3 linked regions of the Callithrix jacchus genome follow. The protein of the gene in region 2 interacts with the protein of the main gene of each other region in a biochemical or structural test. Links are inferred from orthologs where the notes say so. Each region holds a gene or a part of one and is shown on either strand. Other genes may lie near its edges.

Region 1 (8,318 bases), on a different chromosome or scaffold from region 2:
TGAAAAGCTGGATATATACATAACCAAAGGTCTCATTTATCTAATATTTTCAGCTTCCCCCAAACATGAAAAAATAAACACCAAAAACCTGGGTGTTAATAAAATACCTCATTTGAGGATTAACTTTTATATCCCCACTCTTTCCCACTTCCTTTTTATCTTTTAAATTTTATTTTTAGTTTTTACTTTATTTTGTTGTTGTTGTTTTTTGAGATGGAGTCTCGCTTTGTTGTGCAGTGGCATGATCTCTGTCCACTGCAACCTCCACCTCCGGATTCAAGCAATTCTCCTGCCTCAGCCTCCCAAGTTGGAATTATAGGTGTCCACCACCACAACCCTAATTTTTATATTTTTAATAGAGACAAAGTTTCACCATGTTGGCCAGGCTGGTCTCGAAGTCCTGACCTCAAATGAGCTGGCTGCCTTGGCCTCTCAAAGTACTGGGATTACAGGTGTGAGCCACCATGCCTGGCCTTACTTGCTTATATTTTATGAAGGTAGGGTCTCACTATGTTGCCCAGGCTGTTCTCAAACTCCTTTGCTTCTCCCACCTTGGCCTTCCAAAGTGCTGGGATTACAGGCATGAGCCACTGCACCAGGGTCTACCCAAGCTGGAGTGCAGTGTCATGATCATGACTTATGGCAGACTCTGTCCTCCGGGCTTAAGTGATCCCCCCCCCCCATCTCAGCCTCCCAAGTAACTGGGACCACAGGTTTGTGTCACCATGTCCAATTGATTTGTTTGATTTTTAAATAGAGAATACAGGCATTACAGACATTCGTCCTACCTGGGCACGGCAGAAAAAGGAAGAGCCAAAAGAAGAACGATGAGACAACATGAGAAAGACTTTAGCCACTGTGCCTGGCCCCTTCCTACTTTCTAGTTAAGTGGCCAATTGGAAGGAAGAGGGAAAGGCAAGATGCTTGAATGTTTAATCCCTAACATAATGAAGAATTGTCCTCAGTGTTCAGAATAATGACACATCGTGTACTTGTACTTGCTTAGGAGCCTGTGTGACAGTGGTAGTAGTGGTGGCTGATCCTCACTGAGGGCTGCAGGTGTTCCAGAGAGACTCACATGGGTCTTTGGTAGCTATTATACTGTAAGCACAGCTTTCTACAGTAAGTTCCATGAGTCAGCAAAATATCTGTAAAAAGCCTCTCCTTGGAGACCATGAAACCTGCATTTTCATCTCTCTTTTGCAACTAAAAAACCATGTGGGGTTGGGGAAGAGGAGCAAGTAAGGATACTGCAAACTTCCTCTCTGGGATTTGGTTTTCAAGTATCTTTAAATGAGAAGGATACATGATATATTTATATGATTCCTCCTAGGCCTGTCATACTATAATTCTTTCAGGGATTTTGCCATTTTCGATTTGCTTATCTCATAAAACTGTGTTGTTGCTTAAAACCCAACTATTCTATTTGGTTGACTTGGTCTAAAGTTTTTCTCATGTTGTCTCATCATTCTTTTGACTCTTCCTTTTTCTGCTTTGCCCAGATAGGACGAAATTCCTTTTCACTACAGTATTGGGAGCCTGGAACTAGAGTTATCACCCCTTGCGTTAAAGAAGGATCTGTCTGAAGGCTTCCATCTCTACTCTCCTTGAGGCAAGAGACATTGTCAGGGGCGGCTTGCCCTTGGCCTCTGTGCCCCAGGGATTGCAAATGTATGTTCCTCAAAGGTAAGGACTGCATCATTCGGCTATCTTTGTATTCACGGGTACAGCTTGTGCTAGGCAGCCAGTGTTCAATAAATATCGTGCCTAAGGGTAAAGTGGCATTGTCCTTAATTTCCCCCCCAAACCACTAGGTGTCGCCTTCATCTCAGAGAAACCAGGCCTGTCCCCACCCTACACTCACACCCCACTCCAGGGCTCCAGGAGCGCTCTTAGCTTGTGATTTCAGGAGAAATAGCGCGAAGGTGAAGAGAGACCGTGGCTCTCAGCACGGGAAGAGATTGGGCTTACATGCATGTCCTTTATGACAGTTGGAGAAAAATCCCCAAGGTCCCATAGAAGCCCCTCTCAGCCACCATGAGATCATCCCTCACAAGCTGTTCCTGGGGTCAGATTGGCACTCCAGATATGGGCCTCCCCCCTCCCCCCGCCCCCGGGGAGAGCTTCCTAAGGCTGAAAGGCTGGGAGCAAGGTGGAACCCCAGGAGTGGGTGGATGGGCTTCCATTGCGGGGAGTGTCCGCTGGTCCGTTACAGGCTTTCACCAGGCGCCAGCTTGCGCTGTGCAGGAGACAAAAGAAAATCGAGGCCCTGACTGAGCAGATGGTGTGGAGGAAGCCGGGCGGGCTGCGGTGGGCCTCTGAGGACACCGGGAGGGAAGGGGGCATGGAGACAGCGGGGGCCAAGGGTGGAGTTCCCAGCCACAAGGAGCTTCGTGGACTTCCTAAGGATTGGTGGGAAGTGTAGCGCGGGGACCCCTGGCCGCTGGGGGACCCCTGGCCGCTGGAGGGCCCGTCCAGGGAGCGGGCATGGCCCCGGGTGGAGTGAGTGGCTCTGCCGTCGGGAGGGTGATATGGTTTGCTAGGCGGGCGCCTGGTGAGGACACCACACGTCTGGGGATCCTCGACAGCTCCCTGGAGACTAGAGCCCCTGAGGGACTCAGGGAGTGGAGAGGAGACCTAAGAAGAGCGGGCTAAGCGAGAATAAGAGGACAAGCCCTGGGGTTGCCGGCCTGTGTGAGATGGAAGTGGAGCGGCGGGGGTACCAGGGGCTTGAGGGAGACCCGGGTAGGCCCTGAGGGTGAGGGAGCGCCCGGGAACCCCGCCGGCCGGCGACGCCCTGGTGCGGAGCCCCAAGTGCTTACCGGGGTGGGTTTGGGACCTAGCGGTCCCGGGCGCCCGGGAGAGGGGGGGTGGAGGAAGGCAGCCGGCGCCGGAGGGTGGGGCCGGGAGGGAGGAGGAGGGGCGGCGGGGGAGGGGCGGGGGCGGGCGGCCTGCCCGCGGGAGTCGCACTCGGCCGCCGGCGCAGCTAGCGGAGACGGGCCGGGCCGAGGCGACCTGACCCGGACGAGCGGCGCGCGCGGGGCCCAGGCGGGGGGCGGGAGGAAGCGCGAGGCAGCGCCGGCCGCCAGGGCCCAGGAGAAGCGGAGCAGAGAGGAGCGGGGACACGGGCGGGGCCGCCGTGGCTCCGGATGGGACCAGCGCCCGGGCCCGTTAGTCCCAGCAGGAGCTTCGGGAGAAGCCTTCACAGGGAGATTTACCCCTGCCTTCCCCTGCCCTCCGGCCCAGGCCTCGCTTCTCTCCCCGCCTGCCCATGATCCCAGTCCTTCCGCGGCGCGGGCACCCTCCCACCTTACCCTCTTGGTCCTATGTGTCGCAGCGCCTTCCTGCCCTCCTGGCCCCTTCAGCTGTGAGGTTCCCCCAGGCCGTTTCCTTGTACCAGCCGCCCCCCACCCCCACCCCATCCCAGTCCCAGATCCCCTTTTCCTTCTCAGCTTTGGTTCATCAGGCTACTTTGCCTCGCAGTGTCCCCATCCCAGGCGCAGTCCCCCTCGGTGACTCCTTCCCCCTGCCACCCCACTGTCAGTCCTCAGTCCTTGCCCGAGGCTGGTAGCCCACTCGTTGCCCGCCCCCGCCCCCCCTTCCCGCCTTCCTCCCATCTCTCCTTCCTCTCTCTGGCCCCCTGTACCTTCTGCATTCCAGCCTACCTAGCCCACCCCTCCTTCTCTTCCTGGCCCTCTTCCCCAGGCTCCAGGCTGGGTGGTGCTCGCGTCTCCCCTGTAGGCCAGAGCAGCCCCAAGTTCTGGGGGCGGTGGGGCTGCTGCTTTATCCCCATGGCGCTGCCATCACTCCTGCTGTTGGTGGCAGCCCTGGCAGGTGGGGTGCGTCCTCCCGGGGCGCGGAACCTGACGCTGGCGGTGGTGCTGCCAGAACACAACCTGAGCTATGCCTGGGCCTGGCCACGGGTGGGTCCCGCTGTGGCACTAGCTGTGGAGGCGCTGGGCCGGGCACTGCCCGTGGACCTGCGGTTTGTCAGCTCCGAACTGGAAGGCGCCTGCTCTGAGTACCTGGCACCGCTGCGCGCTGTGGACCTCAAGCTGTACCATGACCCTGACCTGCTGTTAGGCCCGGGTTGCGTTTATCCTGCTGCCTCTGTGGCCCGCTTTGCCTCCCATTGGCGCCTTCCCCTGCTGACTGCGGGTGCTGTGGCCTCTGGTTTTGCAGCTAAGAATGAGCATTATCGTACCCTGGTTCGCACTGGCCCCTCTGCTCCCAAGCTGGGTGAGTTTGTAGTGACACTACATGGGCACTTCAATTGGACTGCTCGTGCCGCCTTGCTGTATCTGGATGCTCGCACAGATGACCGGCCTCACTACTTCACCATCGAGGGCGTCTTTGAGGCCCTGCAGGGCAGCAACCTCAGTGTGCAGCACCAGGTGTATGCCCGAGAGCCAGGGGGCCCTGAGCAGGCCACCCACTTCATCCGGGCCAACGGGCGCAGTGAGTGTGGCCCGGGCTATTTTAGGGTCAGGGGAGGGTTGCTGTGTCCCTAAAGCTCAGCACTGAGGAATTGTAGATGGAGATAGGCACTGAGCAGCTGTTTGTGGTGGTTGGGATCAAGAAGCACATGTGGACAGAGCACCTGTGAGAGGGTTAAGTCTTCATGACGGGCACTTGTGAACACCCTAGGCAGATGCAAACTAGGAAGACAGAGCATGAGGTATGAAGCTCCTATCAGGGAGGAATTTGAAAGTGGGGGGATATTGAGTTTGGGGAACAATGTGAGTACCCTAGAGTAGTGAATGTGATCGATGGCCCCTCTGAAATGTTCACCTGTCTGTGATCAGAGCTACCACCCAGACTGGGTTCCATGACCCCTCGGTGGTGTAAAAATAATGAGGACTCCATGAATGGGCTCAGGGAATGGGCAGATTTGGGAAAGACAGGTAAAGCTCATACTAAGAAATCTGTGCTATTAGCGCCTTTGAGCCCAGGGAAGGGCAGGGGAGAGTCAGGGAGTTAGGTGGCCTGGGTAGGGAGCAGCAAGGGAGGCTCTGGGAAAGGGAGGGGCTTGAGAGTGACAGTTCCCTTCCTCTGGGGTCTGGACAGGCTCTGACTTCTGTCAGATGGTCCATATGGCCCCAGGGTACTTATGGTGGACTCCAAGGGGGTGGGCTGGGGAGCATCTGCTTGGGAGTTAATAGGTTAGGGAACTCTTTTTTTTGCTGAAGAGGGACATCCCAGTGATTCAGAAGGGGGTGTGGGGGGACCTGGATACTTTCTCAGGGTGCTCCTCTGTCATGTACCTGCTCCCAGTTGTGTATATCTGCGGCCCTCTGGAGATGCTGCATGAGATCCTGCTTCAGGCCCAGAGGGAGAATCTGACCAATGGGGATTATGTCTTCTTTTACCTGGATGTCTTTGGGGAGAGTCTCCGTGCAGGCCCCACACGTGCTACAGGCCAGCCCTGGCAGGACAATCGCACCCAGGAACAGGCTGAGGCCCTCAGAGAGGCCTTTCAGGTATCATTTGAGCGAAATCTGAAGGAGGAGGGGGATGAGGTGATTTGTTGGAAATTCTCTCTCTCACAAGACCCCACAGAAACCCTAGGAACTGGGCAGGAGTAAAATGTGAGCCACAGGAGTAAAATGAACAGAGGCATTCTGAGTCTAGTGTCACCCTTTCTTTCTTCTTTACTTTTGTGACTCAGAGTGTGTTTGCTGCCAAGACCTACTTTGGCTGCCTCCAAAATCCTAAAACACTGACTTTCCTAAGTGCCAGTAGAAGGCTGTTCTGTGGGGGAGAAAAGTTCAGGAAAGATCTGTTCCTAGCCCTTTGGTGGACTTCCACACTTTATGGAGAGGTGAGGCATCATTCTGGTACAGTCAGACAAAGTTTGAGAAAGGATATGATTATGTGTCCTGGGACAGCATAAACTTTAGTGGCTCAGAAGAGTCAATGTGGGTTGTGTTTAGGGAAGGCTTTTATACAGGAAATGAGACCCTATTGTGACTTTACTGATAGAAGTCATATTCATAAAGTAGGAGAGGAGATCCAGGCTGCCTGAGCAAAGAGAAAAAGATAGGAATGGGTGTGTTTGGGAGACCATGGGAGACCAAGAAGATACCCAAGAAGATACCCAACAAGAACAAAGGGTTCACTTAAAGGAGATACAGTTGCAAAGGTATCTTAAAGGAAATAAAGTTGCAAAGGTATAATCAGATTAAAGAGTTATAAGTCTTAAGGCACTAGGATTTGAATTTGGGGTGCTTTACATTTTTTTTTGTGGAGATAAATATACAATAGCGACAGAATTCAGGATTATAAGAGCGGGAGACTTGGGGCAGTGAGACCATCAGTAACAGGTTAGAAAAGGGGTGAGGTGATGTGGCTTGAACTAGTATGGTGATAGCAGGATGGAGAGAAATGCATTTCAGATTTCAGAAAATTTGCAGGGAATGTTGGCATGACTCTGTTCATTTCACTCCTCTCAAAACTTTCAGTGACTTGTGTTCTAGAGAATAAAATCCTGACTCCTTATTGTGACATTTAAGACCTTCTGCAGTCTGTTCACAAACCACTTTTTCAGTCTTACCTCCTAGTGCCCTCATGCTGAGAACTGCAGCCCACCTGGCCTCTCTTCCCCTGTGCCTTTATGTTCTTTTTCTTTCTGTCTGGAATGCTCTTCCTTCCCTCACCCCAAATCTCTGCCTCTCAAAAATCATACCGATGGATCTTCCCCTGATTCCTCTGCCACTTTTTTGCTAACTGTGTATATAAATGTTTCTCATGTATTTATCCATATCCCTCCTTTTTTCCAAGAAGGATTGGAGGTGGCTTATGGGATAACCTTAAGGTCCTTTAAACTCTGGGATTATTTGATTCTAAGTAGATGTGTGTAAGGACTGGACCTGGGTGGCCATTCTTCTCCAGTGAGTAAGGTTTTATGTAGCTGTAATTATACGGTTGTGTCTGACGAGTGTGTGTCTGTGAATGACATAGCTGTTTGCATGCCTGAGAATGAGTCTGTGACTGTCACACTTGAATATGGGCAGCAGCAGGACAGGTTTTGTTTATGCTATAATGTTGTCCTAAAACAATCTTCTCATCTTTGTCTGGGTAATGCGTCCATATTCTTTAAGACTCATACCACTTATTTTCCTTTCTAGGAAATGATCCCAGAATCCCTAAGTAGGAATTTCCTACTCTTTTGCTTAACTCCGTCTACCATAGAAATAACCATATTATTTAGTCAGTGTTTGATTTATTTGAAGGCTGACTAATTTCATTAGTATTTACTGAGCACCTATCATGTCCAGTCACTGTGCTAGGTACTGGTATACAAGGGAGAGCATAACAGATTTAGTTCCTGCCTTTTTGGGGTTTACATTTAGTAGGATAGGTAGACAATAAACAAGTAAGAAAATAAATGCAAATGTAGGAACATATTGTGATGTGTTACTAAAACATAAAAAGGAAAGGAATAGAGTACTCTGGAAAGAGAGGAACGAGGAGATTGTATTTCAGCTGGTGTGGACTTGGGAAGATCTGTGGCCCTCCCAGATGGGAGCACTCCATAGGTTTCCTGGTTATATCCTTTTTCTTTTTGAGACAGCTCTGTTGCCCAGGTTGGAGTCGAGTGGTATGATCACAGCTGCTCGCTGCAGTCATGACCTCCCGGGCTGAAGCAATCCTCTCACCTTGGTCTCCAAGTTGCTGGGACTACAGGCATATGCCACCATGCCCAGCTAATTTTTTTTATTTTTTGTGAGATGGGGTCCTGTTGTGGACCCAGGCTGGTCTTGAACTCCCAGGTCAAATGATCTTCTTGTCTTGGCCTCTCAGAGTGCTGGGATTACAGGCGTGAGCCACTGTGCCTGGCTGGCTGTATTCTACTTATGGAAGAAAAGCCTCTTTTTCTTCTGTGAGAATTCCTGCCCAGCCAAGGGTCCCCAGCATTAAGTGTAGGGAGAGGAGGGATCGAGTCATCCAATAATCAGTTATATCAATTAACTCTCAGTTCTCCCCCTCACTGTAGGCATTATTCAGACAGAGAAATAAAGAGGGAGACTTTGCTGCAACACAAGAGAAGGGAACTAGGCAGCCAGGAATATGCTGAGGGGAAGGTCAAGGCTTTGGGTGGGTGGGGATGAGAGATGATGAGGTGGCCCCCGCCCCCCCCCCCCGGCTCTCACCTTCCAATATGGAAGCAGAGCAGGGGCTGAGGGAAGTTGGGCAGTTAGCTCCAGCCAAGGATGAAAGAGCTCAGAGCCCGAGACACTGGCCCTCCGGGGTCCCAGACAGGCCAGCCTGGAAAATGTGGCAATAGAGGAAAGGACGCCTTGACACAGATGACCACA
Region 2 (7,603 bases):
CCCAGTCCCACCTTCTCCAGCAAGCTCCCTTCTCTGCTGCACACTCCTGCTGTGCTCACAGGGCAACCAGGACTCACTGCTGCTGTATCTGTCACTCACTGTGTCAGCCTGGGGAGCCTGTGATGTGCCTACCTTTCCCCCTGCACTGTAAGCTTCTCAAGAGCAGGGACTTTCTTGTCCTTTATGCATCCCCAGCTTCCAGCAGAAATATTAAATTTTCACCTGTGCAGTCTCATTTTATGCTCACAACAACCCTGAGGTAGAGAAATGAGAAAACAAGGAGAGACAGGAAACAACTTGCCCAAGAACACAGAGGTAGCAAGAAATTGATGTGAAATGGAGCCCCAGACTCTGACTTCAGTCTTGGCTGTGGACTACTTTGACCCCAGGCTCTTGATGAAAGTTTGTTGAATGACTTAAGGGTCTTATTTTTTTTCTCTATGGCTAGATTAAGCACTTAGGGTTGGACACTGGTGGGGAACAAATTCTACTACCACAACAACATTTACTGAAGGCTTACCATGGGCTGGACCCTATGCCTGGCATTTGACATATACTATATTAATTTCCCATTGCTGCTGAAACAAAGTCGCACAAGCTTGTTGGCTTAAAAGAACATGATTTTCTTTTCTTCTAATTGCAGACATTAGAAATCTGAAATCTGTTTCACTGGACTAAAACTGAGGTGTTAGCAGGCCCATGTTCCTTCCAGAAGCTCTAGGGAAAAATCCATTTATTTGCCCTTTCCAGCTCCTAGAGGGTGACTATATTCCTTGGCTTGCAGCCCCTTCCTCTATCTTCAAAACCAGCAGTGTAGCTTCTTCCTTCCTCTCTGACCTCTATTTCCACCTAACATTTTTTCCCTCTGACCTTGATCCTCTGGCCTCCCTCTTATAAGGACCCTTGTGATGACATTGAGCCCTCCTGAATAATCCAGGAGAATCTCTCTACCTTGAGATCCTTAACATGACCACACCTGGGAAGTCCTTTTACCATGTACAGTAACATATTCGCAGGTTCTGGGGATTAGGATGTGGACATCTTTTGGGGACTATTATTCACCTTACCAATGAAATCATCAAGTTTAATCCTTGCACATTAATGCTGTGACAGAGGTGGTATGATTAGCTTCATTGAAGAGACATGGAAAACACATAGCACATGTCAGGACCTCTGTAGTGTTGATGGGGCTGATCTGGTGTGAGAGTTGATTGACAACTTGTCTCCTCCCGGGACAGCAGGCCTTGGAGGATTTGTCTAGTCCTATGCCTTCCCTCAAGTCTTCTTCCACAATTCCCTCCACTGGGGTTATATAGAAACTCTGTCAGAGTGTACAACACTTAAACATTTAATTGTCCCACCTGGGGTCACTGTGTCTCCCCAATGAGATCACAATCTCCTTCAGTATAAAGACCAACTCTCATGTATTCTTGATTATTTGGCCCTTTCTGCAGTGCTACGGGCTTTTGCAGAAATTATGTTCTTCCTTTTGGTCCTCGCAAGGACTGTCCATTTTGCTGAAGAGCAAAGTGAGACTCCAGCGAGATGCAGAGTCAGTTTTTGATGGTGCTGGTTGATGAATCCTGCCTTGCTCCCAACCCTTTATATGAGGGGTTCTCTGCAGCCTCACACTCACTGACTCAGCTCTGCACTTGGATGAATTTTCTTACCCCTTTGACTTCCTCTTAGCCTTTTGAGACTCTCCCTGTGGTATGCCCATGCATACACACACACACACACACACACACACACACACACAACTACCCCAGCCCCCAGAACATTTCCAGCACTGGTGTCTTTACACAGCCCTTACCCACCCACCCCCATTTTCATTTCATCTTCAAAATCTCATCTGAGCCACTTCCCATCCTTTCTCCTGCACATACAGTCACCAGACTTGCACATCCCCCACAGCACAGCTCTCAGAGCCTTCACAGATGACCGGGGATTCATCTAAGCTTGCTTTTTGTAGAAACACCTTGTGATCACTCTGGCAGAGATTATAAGCTTCAGGTCTGGAATCAGACTGCCTGGGGTTGGAATCCGGGCTTTATCATGTGCCAGTTGGGTGACTTTTAGAAAGTAGATGTATTCATGAGCGCCATTTTCTGGTCTGAAATGAGGAATATAATGATACTTTTCTCACTTGAGGGGCAGATGCTACTTTTTAGGCAAGATTTGCTTGGAGGTCCCAGTTTCTTATTGCTGTCCTTCTCTGCCATAACCATCTCTCCTCCTAGACAGCGCCACTCCTCCACCCTGCTACTTGTTGGCACAGATTCTCTGGAAGGGGAGTAACATTGGTCATATATGCTTTAGGTGGGTATTTAAGCTGCTGTGATTTTTCCCAGGACCATTTCTCTTCAGAGTCTCATTTCAAATCACAGACAGGAGGCCCAGATCACCTGCTAATGAGAATTAGTTCATGGGTGATCAGATGAAGAAGGCATTGGGGCAGGGAAGCTCTGAATATCTCTGGTGTCCCAGCAAACAGATAACCATCTTTCCAGCCATCCTTCTGTTTCTATCCAGTGTTGGCTTGGTCGGGGAGAGGAGGTGTTGACACCTGAAAGAGACACATATGAGGCATTCCTGGATCACTTCATCATTACTGGGTCCTGTCTCTCAAAATTCCAGTGAAATCTGCTCTTCCCTTTCAGGGGTGAAAGAAGGGTCAGCATTCCAGAAGTTCCTGGTCATACCCAGGCTTTTAATGCATTGCCATTCGGGAATCAGCGTCCCGTTGCTGTAAAGGTTATGGGATGGGGGGTTGTGAGATCATAGGGAAGGGTCTTAGAGGTCTCTTGTTCCTGCTCCATTCAGATCTTTCTGGCCTGGAAATTCGGTTGAAGAGAGCAGCTCTTGAGAGTTTGCACAGAGCACCCTCGGGACTATCAGCACCACGGACAGCGGCCAGGGCGCCCCGGGGACCAGCAGCGGCGAGCAGGTGCTGCGCTACGTGCGGGCCAGGGAACTCTTGAGGGGAGGGGAGACGCGCCGTGGGTGGCGGGGTGTTGGCCCGGGCTGTTTTCGCTCTGAGTCACCCTGTGAGCCCCGCGCTCACGTCTGGCCTCGGAACGCCGGGGTTCTCCCTGCCTTTTCCAGCCACGGTGGGGTGTGGAGGCAAGACGAAAGCGCCAACCTAGGACACCTGGACTTTTGCAGGAAAGGAAGAAGCGTGAGGCTGGGACTTGTCAGTGTCTCCAGGGCGCTCCCGCCCCCGGCCCGGCCTGGCCCACTTCTATACAAGGCCTGCTCTGCCGGATCTCCACCTCCCGCGTGGCAGGCGCAGAGGGGCGCATTCCCGGGCCCTGATCTCAGCGGCCAGGAATGTGGCTGATAAATCAGAGATAACCCTGCAGGGCAGGGCCAGCCGGACAATCAGCTCCAGGATAAAAGTCCACAGTGTCCCGAGGAGCCAGGAGGAGCCACGAGGAGCAGGCTGAGGGTAGGTGGGAAGCAAACTCAGACGCATCGCAGCAGCAGCCTCTGCCAGTCCCTCCAGAGATATGGATCTCCAGACAGCATCTTCCCGGGTGCTCCTGCTCCTGCTCTTCTTGCACCTGGCTCTCCCTGGAGGTCATTCCCACCCGTTGGGTAGCCCCACTTTGCCCTCGGACTTGGAAACGTCCAGGTTACAGGTGAGAGCAGAGGGCAACTCAGGGAGATTGGACAGCAGCAGTGAAAGGGTCCCCACCTGCTGTCCCAAGAGACCCTCACCGTCCCTTTGGAATTAGTGATAAAGGAATCAGAAAATGGAGAGACTGGGTGCCAGGACCCAAGGCAGTCAGTTCACTTGGGTGCCATGAAGGGCTGGTGAGCCCAGGGGTGGGACCCTGAGTCTTGGACTCCCCCATCCATTGCAGGAGCAGCAAGGCCATTTGCAGGACAAACTCTCAGAGCTGCAGGCAGAGCAGACATCCCTGGAGCCTCTCCAGAAGAGCCCTCATCCCACAGCTGTCTGGAAGGCCCGTGAGGTAGCCACGGAGGGCATCTTTGGGCTCCGCAAACTGGTTCTCTCCACCCTGCGGGGACCACGAAGCCTCAAGCCAATGCGAGACACTGGCTGCTTTGGGCGAAGGATGGACCGGATCAGCTTCTCCAGTGGCCTGGGCTGTAAAAGTGAGCACCCCCTTGCCATCTCTCCCGCCTGCCCCCATTCCAGTGTGTGATGCTGTTAGAGTCACTTCAGGGTTTGTTGTCTCTAGGCACCACACTCTTTGAGAAAAGGACACCTGGACATCACTTCCTCTTGTTAACAGCCTGCAGGGCCAAGGGTTGTCTTTGTGGAGTTAGTAAATGTGGGCCTCATTCATTAATATGCCTGCAATACCTTCTCCCCACCTCCTACCTCTCTTATCAAAGGGGCAGAATCTCCCTTGGGGTCTGTTTATCATTTGGCAGCCTCTCAGTGGTGCAGAAAAAGAACCAAACATTTCCTCCTGGTTTCCTCTAAACTGTCTATAGTCTCAAAGGCAGAGAGCAGGATCACCAGAGTGATGATAATCCCCGATTTACAGATGAGGAAACTGAGGCTCAGAGAGTTGGATTAAGCCTCAAACGTCTGATGACTAAAAAGCGTGGCGGGTGGCACACAGTGAGGGAAGCTCAGCCCCTGCCTCCTTTTCTCACCCTAACCATCATCACTTTCTCTTTCCTTGGCAGGGCTGAGGTGGTAGTAAGAGGAAGTCCTGGCTGCAGCTACTGGCTTCTGATTCCACAAAGGGCTCTTTCCTCAACCCTGCAACCACCTTTGAAGTGACTCCTATTTATTTTTATGTATTTATGTATTTATTTGATTGTTTTATATAAGATGGTTTCTTAACTTTGAGCACAAAATTTCCATGGTGAAATAAAGTCAACATCATAAGCTTTATCTTTTGAAACTGACTTGTCTCTGTGCATTACAACGAATCCCTCATTTCAAAGAAACCAACCAAACAAAAACCACAAAGCCCTGTGATCTCAAGGCATGTTCATGGTCGGATGGGGACACGGCCCCGGGAGTAGCAGGCTTTCTTTTCTTTCAGGGTTTTTAATGCTCTGAAATGTTCATATATATTGCAAACACTTGAGGCACTTGGGAGAAATGGCTTTTCAAAGCAGGACAGTTTCTTCCTGGGTGTGCAATGGCCCTGATGTATTTGAGCAACCTGAGGGCAGGTGCCCAGCCATTTTCTCCACTCTTTTTTGCTCTTCCTGGAATCCCACCATTAAAGCACTTACCCTGGGGATTATTGTTTTCGTGTCTCAGCTAAAATGTCAGTGATTGGGGGCAGTGTGTGCGTGTGTCTCTGTGTGTGGCTTATCTGCATTCCTCTATGGGGGTGAGCCCTCCATCCTGCCCCAAATCTCAGCTTTAAACTCCAATTCCTGGTGTCATCCTGCAAAGGAGCCTTCAAAACTCCAACCCACAAAGTGAGAGGGTCTGGCGATTGGCCCAGCTTTCCAGGGTGCTCCTCCCCAGGGCTGTATCAGTTCTTCTCTTTGCCTTAACCAGTGGGGGGCAATCTCCTCTTATGGGTCCTCTTCCCACACACCCTGCAATCCAGGCTTCCCACAGTGCTGAGTTCCTCTGCTTTCAGATTCCTGGGAAGGGTCTCATGCCATTCCCTTTCTCACAATGCCATTTATAATTCCAGCTCAGCTGAGGGGTAAGGCACCATGAGGTCCACTATTATTATGCCCATTTTCCAAATGGGAAAACAAAGACCCAGGAAAAGCAAGCATCCTACCCAAGAGCACACAGCCACTAAGCGCTGGTGCTGGGGACTGAGCAGAGATCCAGGTGACTCTTGAGCCTGTGCTCTCTGACTCTTCAGCCCCACACTCCTGGCCTCGAATTTCACTCTCAAGTCCTTTCTGATGTTCTCATTGGATGTTTCTTTGAATGAAAGGGAACTAGAGGGTGGGTTTTTGTGTTATTTATCATTTTAACTCAGGGTGCAACTGAGGATTTATGAATAGCTAATGACACAAATTAAGATTGTTTAGACCAGGCGTGGTGGTTCCTGCCTGTAATCCCAGCACTTTGGGAGGCTCAGGCCAGTGGATCACCTGAGGTCAGGAGTTCGAGTCCAGCCTCCTGAACATGGTGAAACCCTGTCTCTACTAAAAATACAAAAATTAGCTGGGCGTGGTGCTGTGTGCCTGTAATCCCAGCTACTCGAGTGGCTGAAGCAAGAGAATCAGTTGAACCTGGGAGGCAGAGCTTGCAGTGAGCTGAGATTATGCCATTGCACTCCAGCCTGTGTGATAAGAGTGAAAATCCATCATCTCAAAAAAAAAATTGTTCAAAAATGAGGTTTTAGGCTAAACACAGTGGCTCACACTATAATCCCAGCACTTTGGGAGGTCGAGGCGGAAGGATGGCTTGAACCCGGGAGTTCAAGACCAGTCTGGGCAACATAGTGGGACCCCATATCTTCAAAAAACGAAAACGAAAAAAATTATCTGGGTGTGGTGGTGCATATCTGTGGTCCCAGGTACTCAGGATGCTGAGGTGGGAGGATCGCTTAAGCCTGGAAGCAGGGAGGCTGCAGTGAGCTGTGATTGTACCACTGTAATCCAGCTTGGGTGACAGAGGGAGATCCTGTATCGGAAAACAAACAAAAAAGAGAATAAAATAAATAAAAGTGAGGTTTTAGGGGCAGCTTATTTTTTCACCAACTGTGAGTCATGTCTAATTTTTCACCAACTGTGAGTCATGTCTAACGACCCAGGGAAAGCAATGAATAATTAGAATAGTTAATATTCATAAAGTCCTCATTCATGTACCAGGCATAGTCAGATAGTCCTTACAAAAACTCCTTTTTTTTTTTTGAAACAGGTCACACTCTGTCACCCAGGCTGAAGTGCAGTGGTGCAATCTTGGCTCACTGCAACCTTTGACTCCTGGTTCAAGCGATTCTCCCACCTCAACTTCTGGAGTAGCTGGGAGTAAAGGTGTGTAACACGCCCAGCTAAGTTTTGTATTTTTCGTAGAGATGGGGTTTCACCATATTGGCCAGGCTGGTCTCGAACTCCTGGCCTCAAGTGATCAGCCTGCCTTGGCCTCCCAAAGTGCTGGGATTATAGGTGTGTGCCACCGTGCCCGGCCTCTTGTTATTTTAATCTTTCTAGAAAGTTGTGTCGGTGAATGCAGATCAAGGAGATTTAGTCCCTGGCTTCAGAGATGGAAGAAGTTTCAACAGAGCATGAACTGGCTTTTTCAGGTCTCTAGCACTGAGGTCACAGACATCAGGACCACGTTGGGCCTGAATGCTTCATCTCATGTCAGTGATTTTGCACCTGGGACAGTCTCAAGGAACGCTGAGCCCTTCTCCCTCCCTCTTATGGCTGCTTTGACCCTTCTGAGAATGATTTATGGCAAGGAAAAAAACTGCATTTCTCTTCCTGCAGAGCTGGGTCTAAACCAAGTCATGAACTTGGTCATTTGTCCTCGTTCATGTTGTAGTTCTCAGCCTCTCTCTAGGATTTTTCATCTACTGCCTTAGCTTAAATAATCAATCTTATTCCACCAAGTGATCCATTTCTCCCTTGGATCTGGAGCCTGCCGTGTACAGCTCCTCAGAGCGTTTCTAGAACCAAGCTCAGCATCTGC
Region 3 (8,250 bases), on a different chromosome or scaffold from region 2:
AGGCAGGAGAATTGCCTGAACCCAGGAGGCGGAGGTTGCAGTGAGCCGAGATTGCGCCATTGCACTCCAGCCTGGGTAACAAGAGCGAAACTCCATCTCAAAAAAAAAAGCACAACTATTTCTAGTCCAGTCATTTCTTCTGAGCTCCAGTTCCACTAGTCTGAGGCCTATCAGACATTTTCACTTGAGTGTCTACAGGCACTTCACAGCCAATAAACTATAAGTATCATCCTTCCAAAACCTCCTCCTTCAGCTTCTCAACTAATGGAGTCCACGTCGCCTAGACCTGTTATTTGTATAATGTCTTCACTTCCCAAAGTTCAACTGATTCTATTTACAAAGCATCTCCTCATCTCCATCTGCTGTCTACCTCTATAATCTCTGGAACCTGCCATCTCTATTATAGGACAAGGACATTATGCCTGTCACACAAAAGCTTTCATTATCTTCCCTCCACTGCCCTCTCCCCTGACTCTCTTCCTCAGTCATCCTACATGCACACACCTTACAACCTGGATCAGGGCTGAAAACACAAACTCCTACCTACAAAGCCAGGCAGGTAATGCACCTAAGTGAAGCAGGGTGCCTAGGAACCATGATGAACTAGACTCATTTCAAGGAGATAATGGATACTTGTTCTGGCTGATTGCTCCTGGAGGGATGCAGGACCTATACTGCCAGTTCTTCCAATATTTTCAGAAAAGTCAGAAATCCAGGTTGGGCCTGACGGCTCACACTTGTTATCTCAGAACTTTGGGAGGCAGATGCAGGAGGATCGTTTGAGCCTAGGAGTTTGAGACCAGCCTGGGCAACATAGGGAGACCTCCATCTTAAAAAAAAAAAAAAAAAAATCATAAATCCAAATATTCATGTGGCATCTTATGATTTTTAAGTGTGGACAATTAAATATATGTAGAGAGAATGCAAATCAAACAAAGCATGCCTATCATCTCAAGTTGGCCTATCGACCACAATTTGCTCTGGATGGTAAGAGTATTCTTCCAATGCAAGATACCGGAAAAACAAAAAAATAAAAAATAATTAAAAAAAAAAAAAGAATATTCAAGTCTCAGCCAGGTGCAGTGGCTTACACCTGTAATCTCAACACTTTGGGAGGCTGAAGTGGGTGGCTCACCGGAGATCAGGAGTTCGAAATCAGCCTGACCAACACAGTGAAAACCGGTCTCTACTAAAAATGCAAAATTAGCCAGGCATGTGCCTGTATTCCCAGGAGGCTGAGGCAGGAGAACTGCTTGACCCCCAGGAGACCAAGGTTGCAGTGAGCTGAGATTGGGCCACTGAACTCCAGCCTGGACAACAAGAGCAAAACTCCCATCTCAAAAAAAAGAGAAAAGAGGGCCGGGCGCAGTGGCTCATGCCTATAATCCCAGCAATTTGGGAGGCCGAGGCAGGTGGATCATGAGGTCAAGAGATCGAGACCATCCTGGTCAACATGGTGAAACCCCGTCTCTACTAAAAATACAAAAATTAACTGGGCATGGTGGCGTGCACCTGTAGTCCCAGCTACTCGGGAGGCTGAGGCAGGAGAATTGCTTGAGCCCAGGAGGCAGAGGTTGTGGTGATTCAAGATCGTGCCATTGCACTCCAGCCTGGGTAACAAGAGCAAAACTCCGTCTCAAAAAAAAGAATATTCAAGTCTCCTAAAATTCCATACATAGGCAATATACTTCAACATTCTGCTCTGTCTACACAGAATACCTTTCTCATCCTTCTGTCCTCGTTGAATTATTTCTCTTTGGAGATTTTCCGGCCCCAATCCAAGCAGAATGAATAGCCCTCATCTGAGTCGTTTAGCAATTTATCCATGTCTCCCATGCATGTTGCATTACGGTTATTTGTTCCAAACAGAGCTCTTCAAAGGCACGAACTATATATAGATTCATCTTTATGCCCTCGGCACCTAGTGGGTGCTTGTGATTGACAGCACAGAAGGTTATCTGGAAATGTTTGCTGACCAGAAGTTTGCTGATCTTATGTCCTACTTAGGCGCAGCCTTGGAGAGGTTGGCGCTGCAGTGCCGTCAGTGACTTCTGATGACCATTAGAGGGCACACTGATTCCACAGCAGTCTGGACCGGGGCACCAGCTGTCAAGTGCCCCAAAACCCACTCCCCAATTTAGGCCTCCAATGATTATTTCCAACATCATCTCCTACAGCCTTCATTTTAACAACCCTCAACACAAAACAGTCATTTCTGGGGGAGGCCCTGAAGTATGAAACTATTCTCTCCCAGTCACCCACCCGCTCTCCTCAGCTTCCTAAAATTTGAGCCCTAAAGATTTAATTCTGCCCTGACACGAGCTCATTTTTTCACGGCGAATCTGCACAATCTGGAAGATGGCAGTCAGGGAAAGAGATCGGGATCATAGAAGGGCTGGGTAACAAGCACTCTGGGCTCGCCTTCAACTTTCACGGCCCTTTCCAGAAACCCGGCACCTTGCACCGACTCCCAAACACACACATCCACGCACTCACAGTTTCCTGCCGGGATCCCAAACCAGCACATCTTTCCCTCTTCCTCGGAGAAAACCAGATAGGAGGCGAGCGAAAAGGTGGGGCGCAAATGGGCCCCGGCTGCTTCCACACACACGCTCCGTTCAGCTCTACCTTCCATCCCGGCGAGGGCGCACCTTCAGAGGGTCCTGTCCGAGGAGGAAGGCATGGGCAGCCGAGACCTGGGAAGAGGATCCACCGGGAAGCGCACGGGCTGGACGGCGGGAAGGAAGGAGTTAAAGATCCAGGATTGGCTCTTCTGTCACTGAGTCTGGGAGGGGAAGCGGCCGGGAGGGAGGGTTCGGAGCTTGGCTCGGGTCCTCCACGGTTCCCTCCGGACAGCCGGAGACTTGGGCCGGCCGGACGCCCCTTCTGGCACATTCCCCGAGGCAGGCGCGCACGCACGCTACAAACACACACTCTCCTCTTCCCTCCCTCGCGGGCCTTCTCCCATCCTTCTCCACGGAGCGCTCTCTCTCTCTTTCTCTCTCTCTCTCTCACACACACACACACGCACGCACAAGCCCAGTTGTTCACACTCGGGTCCTCTGGCCTGACGTTCTCCTGGCACCCACCTGCTCCGCGGCGCCCTGCGCGTCCCCCTCCATCGCGCCCCTCGCGCTCTCCGCCCAGACCGTCGTAGCTACAGGGGGCCTCGTACCCCGGGGTGAGCGCCCCTGTCCCGCTCATAATTCTTCCCATAGGGACGCGCCTGATGCCTGGGACCAGCCGCTGAGCCGTAGGGGACGGAGGAGGCCATGGTGGGAGCGCTCGCCCGCTGCGGTGCCCGCTGAGGCCATGCCGGGGCCCCGGCGTCCCGCCGGCTCCCGCCTGCGCCTGCTCCTGCTCCTGCTGCTGCCGCCGCTGCTGCTGCTACTCCGGGGCAGCCGCGCGGGAAACCTGACGATAGCCGTGGTACTGCCTCTGGCCAACACCTCGTACCCGTGGTCGTGGGCGCGCGTGGGACCCGCCGTGGAGCTGGCCCTGGCCCGGGTGAAGGCGCGCCCCGACTTGCTGCCAGGCTGGACGGTCCGCACGGTGCTGGGCAGCAGCGAGAACGCGCTGGGCGTCTGCTCTGACACCGCCGCGCCCCTGGCCGCGGTGGACCTCAAGTGGGAGCACAACCCCGCGGTGTTCCTGGGCCCGGGCTGCGTGTACGCCGCCGCCCCGGTAGGGCGCTTCACCGCGCACTGGCGGGTGCCGCTGCTGACCGCCGGCGCCCCGGCGCTGGGCTTCGGTGTCAAGGACGAGTACGCGCTGACCACCCGCGCGGGGCCCAGCTACGCAAAGCTGGGCGACTTCGTGGCGGCGCTGCACCGACGGCTGGGCTGGGAGCGCCAGGCGCTCATGCTCTACGCCTACCGGCCGGGTGACGACGAGCACTGCTTCTTCCTCGTGGAGGGGCTGTTTATGCGTGTCCGCGACCGCCTCAATATCACGGTGGACCACCTGGAGTTCGCCGAGAACGACCTCGGCCACTACACCAGGCTGCTGCGGACCGTGCCGCGCAAAGGCCGAGGTGAGACGCGGGCGCACCGGGTCCCGCAGCTCCGCCGCAGGGCTTCCCCTCTGACTTCCACTCTCGTCTCTCGTCCGGGCCACTCTTCTTTCTCCTCCCCGGTCTTCATTCCCCTCTCAGCTCCTAGGCCCTTTCTGCTGCGGAGTTTTCTATTTCCCTCTCTTTTTAGCCACCCTGCACCGCGCCTCTATACTCTCACCTCCCCGACCCCCACTCACTCCCTCCAACCCTGGCAAAGCTCAGTTCCGGTCCCTTTTTATCTCCCGCATTTTCTCGCTTCCCTATAGCCTTCTCCCCACCTTCATCCTCTCTTCCCGTCGCTCCTCAAAGTCCTCTCCGCACCGCCCCCCGCCCTCGCTCCTGTCGCCCTCCTGGCCCCACCCTTCTCTACCTTCAGCTCCACTATTCCCCTCTCCATATCTGTCCCTTCCTCTCTTCCGCCCCCCACATCGCCTTCGACCCTTCGTCTTTCTCCTGCCCTGCCGTGGTCTAGGCTGAGCCGGGTTGCCACTTAACTCTCACCGGGCTTCTCCTGCCCCCCATCTCTAACCTCCTCCCCTCGGTGCCTCCGCTTTCCTAGCCCTGTCTCTCCCACAGTACCTAGGCTTCTCTCTCTGAATACTCCTTTTTCTGCAGTTATCTACATCTGCAGCTCGCCTGATGCCTTCAGAGCCCTTATGCTTCTGGCCCTGGAAGCTGGCTTGAGTGGGGAGGACTACGTTTTCTTTCACCTGGATATCTTTGGGCAAAGCCTGCAAGGTGGACAGGGCCCTGTTCCCCGCAGGCCCTGGGAGAGAGGAGATGGGCAGGATGTCAGTGCCCGCCAAGCCTTTCAGGTGAGTACCTAGGTTTGAGGTGAGTACCTAGGTTTGAAGTTAGTACCTAGGTTTGAAGCTCAGGCCATCTCAGCTTGTGGCACGTCATTTCTGGGCACTGTGTCCCTCAGTGTCTGAAAGAATTCCAGAAAAAAAAGGTTTGGTCTGTTTGTTTCTTCATGCACTCATGGTAACTCACAGAACAGAAAAGTGGTTGGTGATGCTCTCTGGGAATTAGGCAGTGAAAGGCAGGGGACTAGCCGGGGCGCTTGAGCACCAGCAGGCTAAAAAGAAGAAAATGGGCTTTAGAGGGGAGGAGGTTAAAGTCCCACTGTCTGGACAGGACTTGGAGAAGCCATCCCTTTGGATTCCCTGCTTTGGAATGGGCATCACTTCATGCGGGGAATAGGGTTCAGTTTGACCTTGAGCTAAGCGGAGACCCAGCTCTGGGAGGTGGGCTCTAACTGTTGGGGCCCCATGGTACTGCGGGGATAGAGTCAGCTCCCAACTCTCTGCTCTCTGCCGACCGCTTCCTCAGGCTGTCAAAATCATTACATATAAAGAACCAGATAATCCCGAGTACTTGGAATTCCTGAAGCAGCTAAAACACCTGGCCCGGGAGCAGTTCAACTTCACCATGGAGGACGGCCTGGTAAGAAGAGGTACCGGGACCCTACAGCGTGGACCTTCAGCCCCCACTCCACGACCCTCTGCCAGCCTCCATTCCCTCTTCCCAGTTCTCCCCTTCCTTCCCTTCCCATTGTTCCATGTCTCTCCCGACTTATCCCTCTGGGATGTGAATCCCAAGACTGGTGCCTTCAGGGTAAGTTCGTGCATCCGGAAGACAGGGCCAACTCCAAGGCATCATCAGTGCCTCCTCCTGATGATGAAGGAGGACACTGGCAAGTTCAGCCTCTGAAACTCAGGTTACCATCCATAATACAGAGATGATACATCCCGCCCTGTGTGCCTAGTGTGATTCAGGAAGCGATGCTAATCCAAAGGCATCATTTAAATAGTAAAATCTAAATAGTCTGTTGGTACCAACAACAAAAATAAATAAATAGTAAAATCTCCCAGTGATGTAGGGGTGTTATTTTCTCCTATCCTCTTCCAAACTCCCAGTGCCTCTCATTCCCTTCCCCACAGCCCCCAACTCCATGCCCTTCATTCACCTCACCCCAGCCAACCTCTGCTTGCCCCCACAGGTGAACACCATCCCAGCGTCCTTCCATGATGGGCTGCTGCTCTATGTCCAGGCAGTGACGGAGACTCTGGCACATGGAGGAACTGTCACTGATGGGGAGAACATCACTCAGCGGATGTGGAACCGAAGCTTTCAAGGTCAGGGCCTTGAGGTGGCTGGAATGGGCAGCCTTGGGGGATGAATCCCAGGTGCCCACTGTCGTGAGAAGTCTGTAGCACAGAGTCACCAGTGCACACCAGCCTTTTCCTCCACAGCTTTTTCTCAGGCGCATCCCTCCAGAAGTCCTACTGAGTGTCCAACCTCAATCATCCCTGCTGGGCACTGGATCCTTTTATTTTATTTTATTTTTGAGATGGAGTCTCGTTCTGTTCCCAAGGCTGGAATGCAGTGGCTAGATCTCAGCTCACTGCAACCTCCAACTCCCAGGTTCAAGCGATTCTCCTGCCTCAGCCTCCTGAGTAGTTGGGATTACAGGTGTCCGCCACCACACCTGGCTAATTTTTTGTATTTTTGGGGGATGGGCATCACTTCTTGCAGAGCATAGGGTCCTGTTTGACCTTGAGCTAAGCAGAGACCTAGCTCTGGGAGGTGGGCTCCTGACTGTTGGGGCCCCACAGTACTGCGGGCATAGAGTCAGCTCCCAATTCTCCGCTCTCCACTGACCCCTTCCTCAGGCTGCCAAAATCATTACATATAAAGAGCCAGAGGTTCTGGGACCCTCCAGCGTGGAACTTGAGCCCCCACTCCACGATCCTCTGCCAGCTTCCATCCTTCCCAATTCCCAGTTATCACCCTCCCTCCCTTCCCATTGTTCCATGTCTTTCCTGATGATGGAGGAGGACACTGGCAGGTTTTTTTAGTTGAGACAGGGTTTCATGTTGGCAGGCTAGTCTCAAACTTCTGACCTCAGGTGATTCGCTTGCCTCAGCCTCCCAAAACGCTGAGATTACAGGCATGAGCCACAGTGCCCGGCCCTTTTACCATTTACTGTCATTCTGTATGCATGTATGTTTGGAAGGCAAGGCAAAAAAGATGAGAGGATGAAGAGATGAAGTGGGATACCGCTGAACTTCCATTCTCTCCCACACAGTCATCTTCCCCTGTGTCCTCAGGTGTGACAGGACACCTGAAAATTGATAGCAGTGGTGATCGGGAAACAGACTTCTCCCTCTGGGATATGGATCCCGAGACTGGTGCCTTCAGGGTAAGTTTGTGCACCCAGAAGACAGTGCCAACTCCAAATGGCATCTCACCCTCCTACTTCCCCCCACAGCCTTACCAGGGCACCTTTTATCCTGTAGCCACTCTACCGTGCCTGGACACTTACGAGAGCCCTGAATAAGACAGACCCAGCTCCAGTCTGGGAAAGCCACCAGAACGATAGGGACCCACAGGCATCACACTTGGGGAGCCCCATGCCTGAGGAGAGAGCACAACCCTGGCCTCAGAGAGCTCCGAAGGGAAGCAGGCAGGACCGCCTCCCAGCAGAGGCAGGGTCACAAAGGATGCACATTACACACCTCTACAAGTGAGTGAGGACAGGAAGCCACTGAGACCGATGGCAGCAAGGGACAGGTCATCCAGAGAAGGTTTCCTGGAAGAGGGGCACATGGATTGGGCCTGGGGATGTAGGCTGAGGTGAACACGGCCTTATTCTGTTTTCTACCAAGAAAATAGGTAGAGAAAAATCAATGCTTGGTTGGTGCCTCAACCAAGATTATAAACTCCCTGAGTGTAGACATTGGGTTCTATATGGAGTTTTCTTTGTAAAAATTCTTGATAGTTGTCAGGTGTTTCCACTTGAATAATACGTGTGTGGTATGAGGTCCAGTATCCAGTTGCAGCAGGGGCTTGGTAAACAGGTGACAACCCAGACATATATAAGCTCTGGAAGCAGAGCTGGGGTAGGTAGGAGGTGACATTGCTGTGCTACACAGCAGCCTTCCCCTCAGGCCCTGGCCTAGCCACCACTCCTGCTCTCCCATAGGTTGTACTGAACTACAATGGGACTTCCCAAGAGCTGGTGGCTGTGTCGGGGCGCAAATTGAGCTGGCCCCTGGGGTACCCTCCTCCCGACGTCCCCAAATGTGGCTTTGACAACGAAGACCCAGCATGCAACCAAGGTGACTGGCCCTCGCCTTCCAGGTCTCCATCCCAGAGATGCAGCCTCCTTCCCCTAAGCACAGTTGAGTAGG

What was found. The genes of interacting proteins can lie anywhere in the genome.
Region 1: the proteins of NPPB (region 2) and NPR2 form a complex in vitro, tested with the Homo sapiens proteins (3 studies listed by BioGRID). The link is inferred for Callithrix jacchus from reciprocal best matches to the Homo sapiens genes NPPB and NPR2.
Region 3: the proteins of NPPB (region 2) and NPR1 form a complex in vitro, tested with the Homo sapiens proteins (2 studies listed by BioGRID). The link is inferred for Callithrix jacchus from reciprocal best matches to the Homo sapiens genes NPPB and NPR1.

The regions. Positions count from the first base shown.
Region 1 is NC_133502.1:142,690,870-142,699,187, forward strand, and holds the start of NPR2 (atrial natriuretic peptide receptor 2), read left to right. Parts: upstream 1-2,959; 5' UTR 2,960-3,791; coding exon 3,792-4,458; intron 4,459-5,274; coding exon 5,275-5,480; intron 5,481-8,318. UniProt on the Homo sapiens protein: Receptor for the C-type natriuretic peptide NPPC/CNP hormone. Has guanylate cyclase activity upon binding of its ligand. May play a role in the regulation of skeletal growth.
Region 2 is NC_133508.1:49,738,721-49,746,323, reverse strand, and holds NPPB (natriuretic peptides B), read left to right. Parts: upstream 1-3,420; 5' UTR 3,421-3,509; coding exon 3,510-3,641; intron 3,642-3,866; coding exon 3,867-4,122; intron 4,123-4,665; coding exon 4,666-4,679; 3' UTR 4,680-4,886; downstream 4,887-7,603.
Region 3 is NC_133519.1:14,100,436-14,108,685, forward strand, and holds the start of NPR1 (atrial natriuretic peptide receptor 1), read left to right. Parts: upstream 1-2,891; 5' UTR 2,892-3,312; coding exon 3,313-4,033; intron 4,034-4,669; coding exon 4,670-4,869; intron 4,870-5,386; coding exon 5,387-5,500; intron 5,501-6,056; coding exon 6,057-6,192; intron 6,193-7,167; coding exon 7,168-7,259; intron 7,260-8,042; coding exon 8,043-8,178; intron 8,179-8,250. UniProt on the Homo sapiens protein: Receptor for the atrial natriuretic peptide NPPA/ANP and the brain natriuretic peptide NPPB/BNP which are potent vasoactive hormones playing a key role in cardiovascular homeostasis.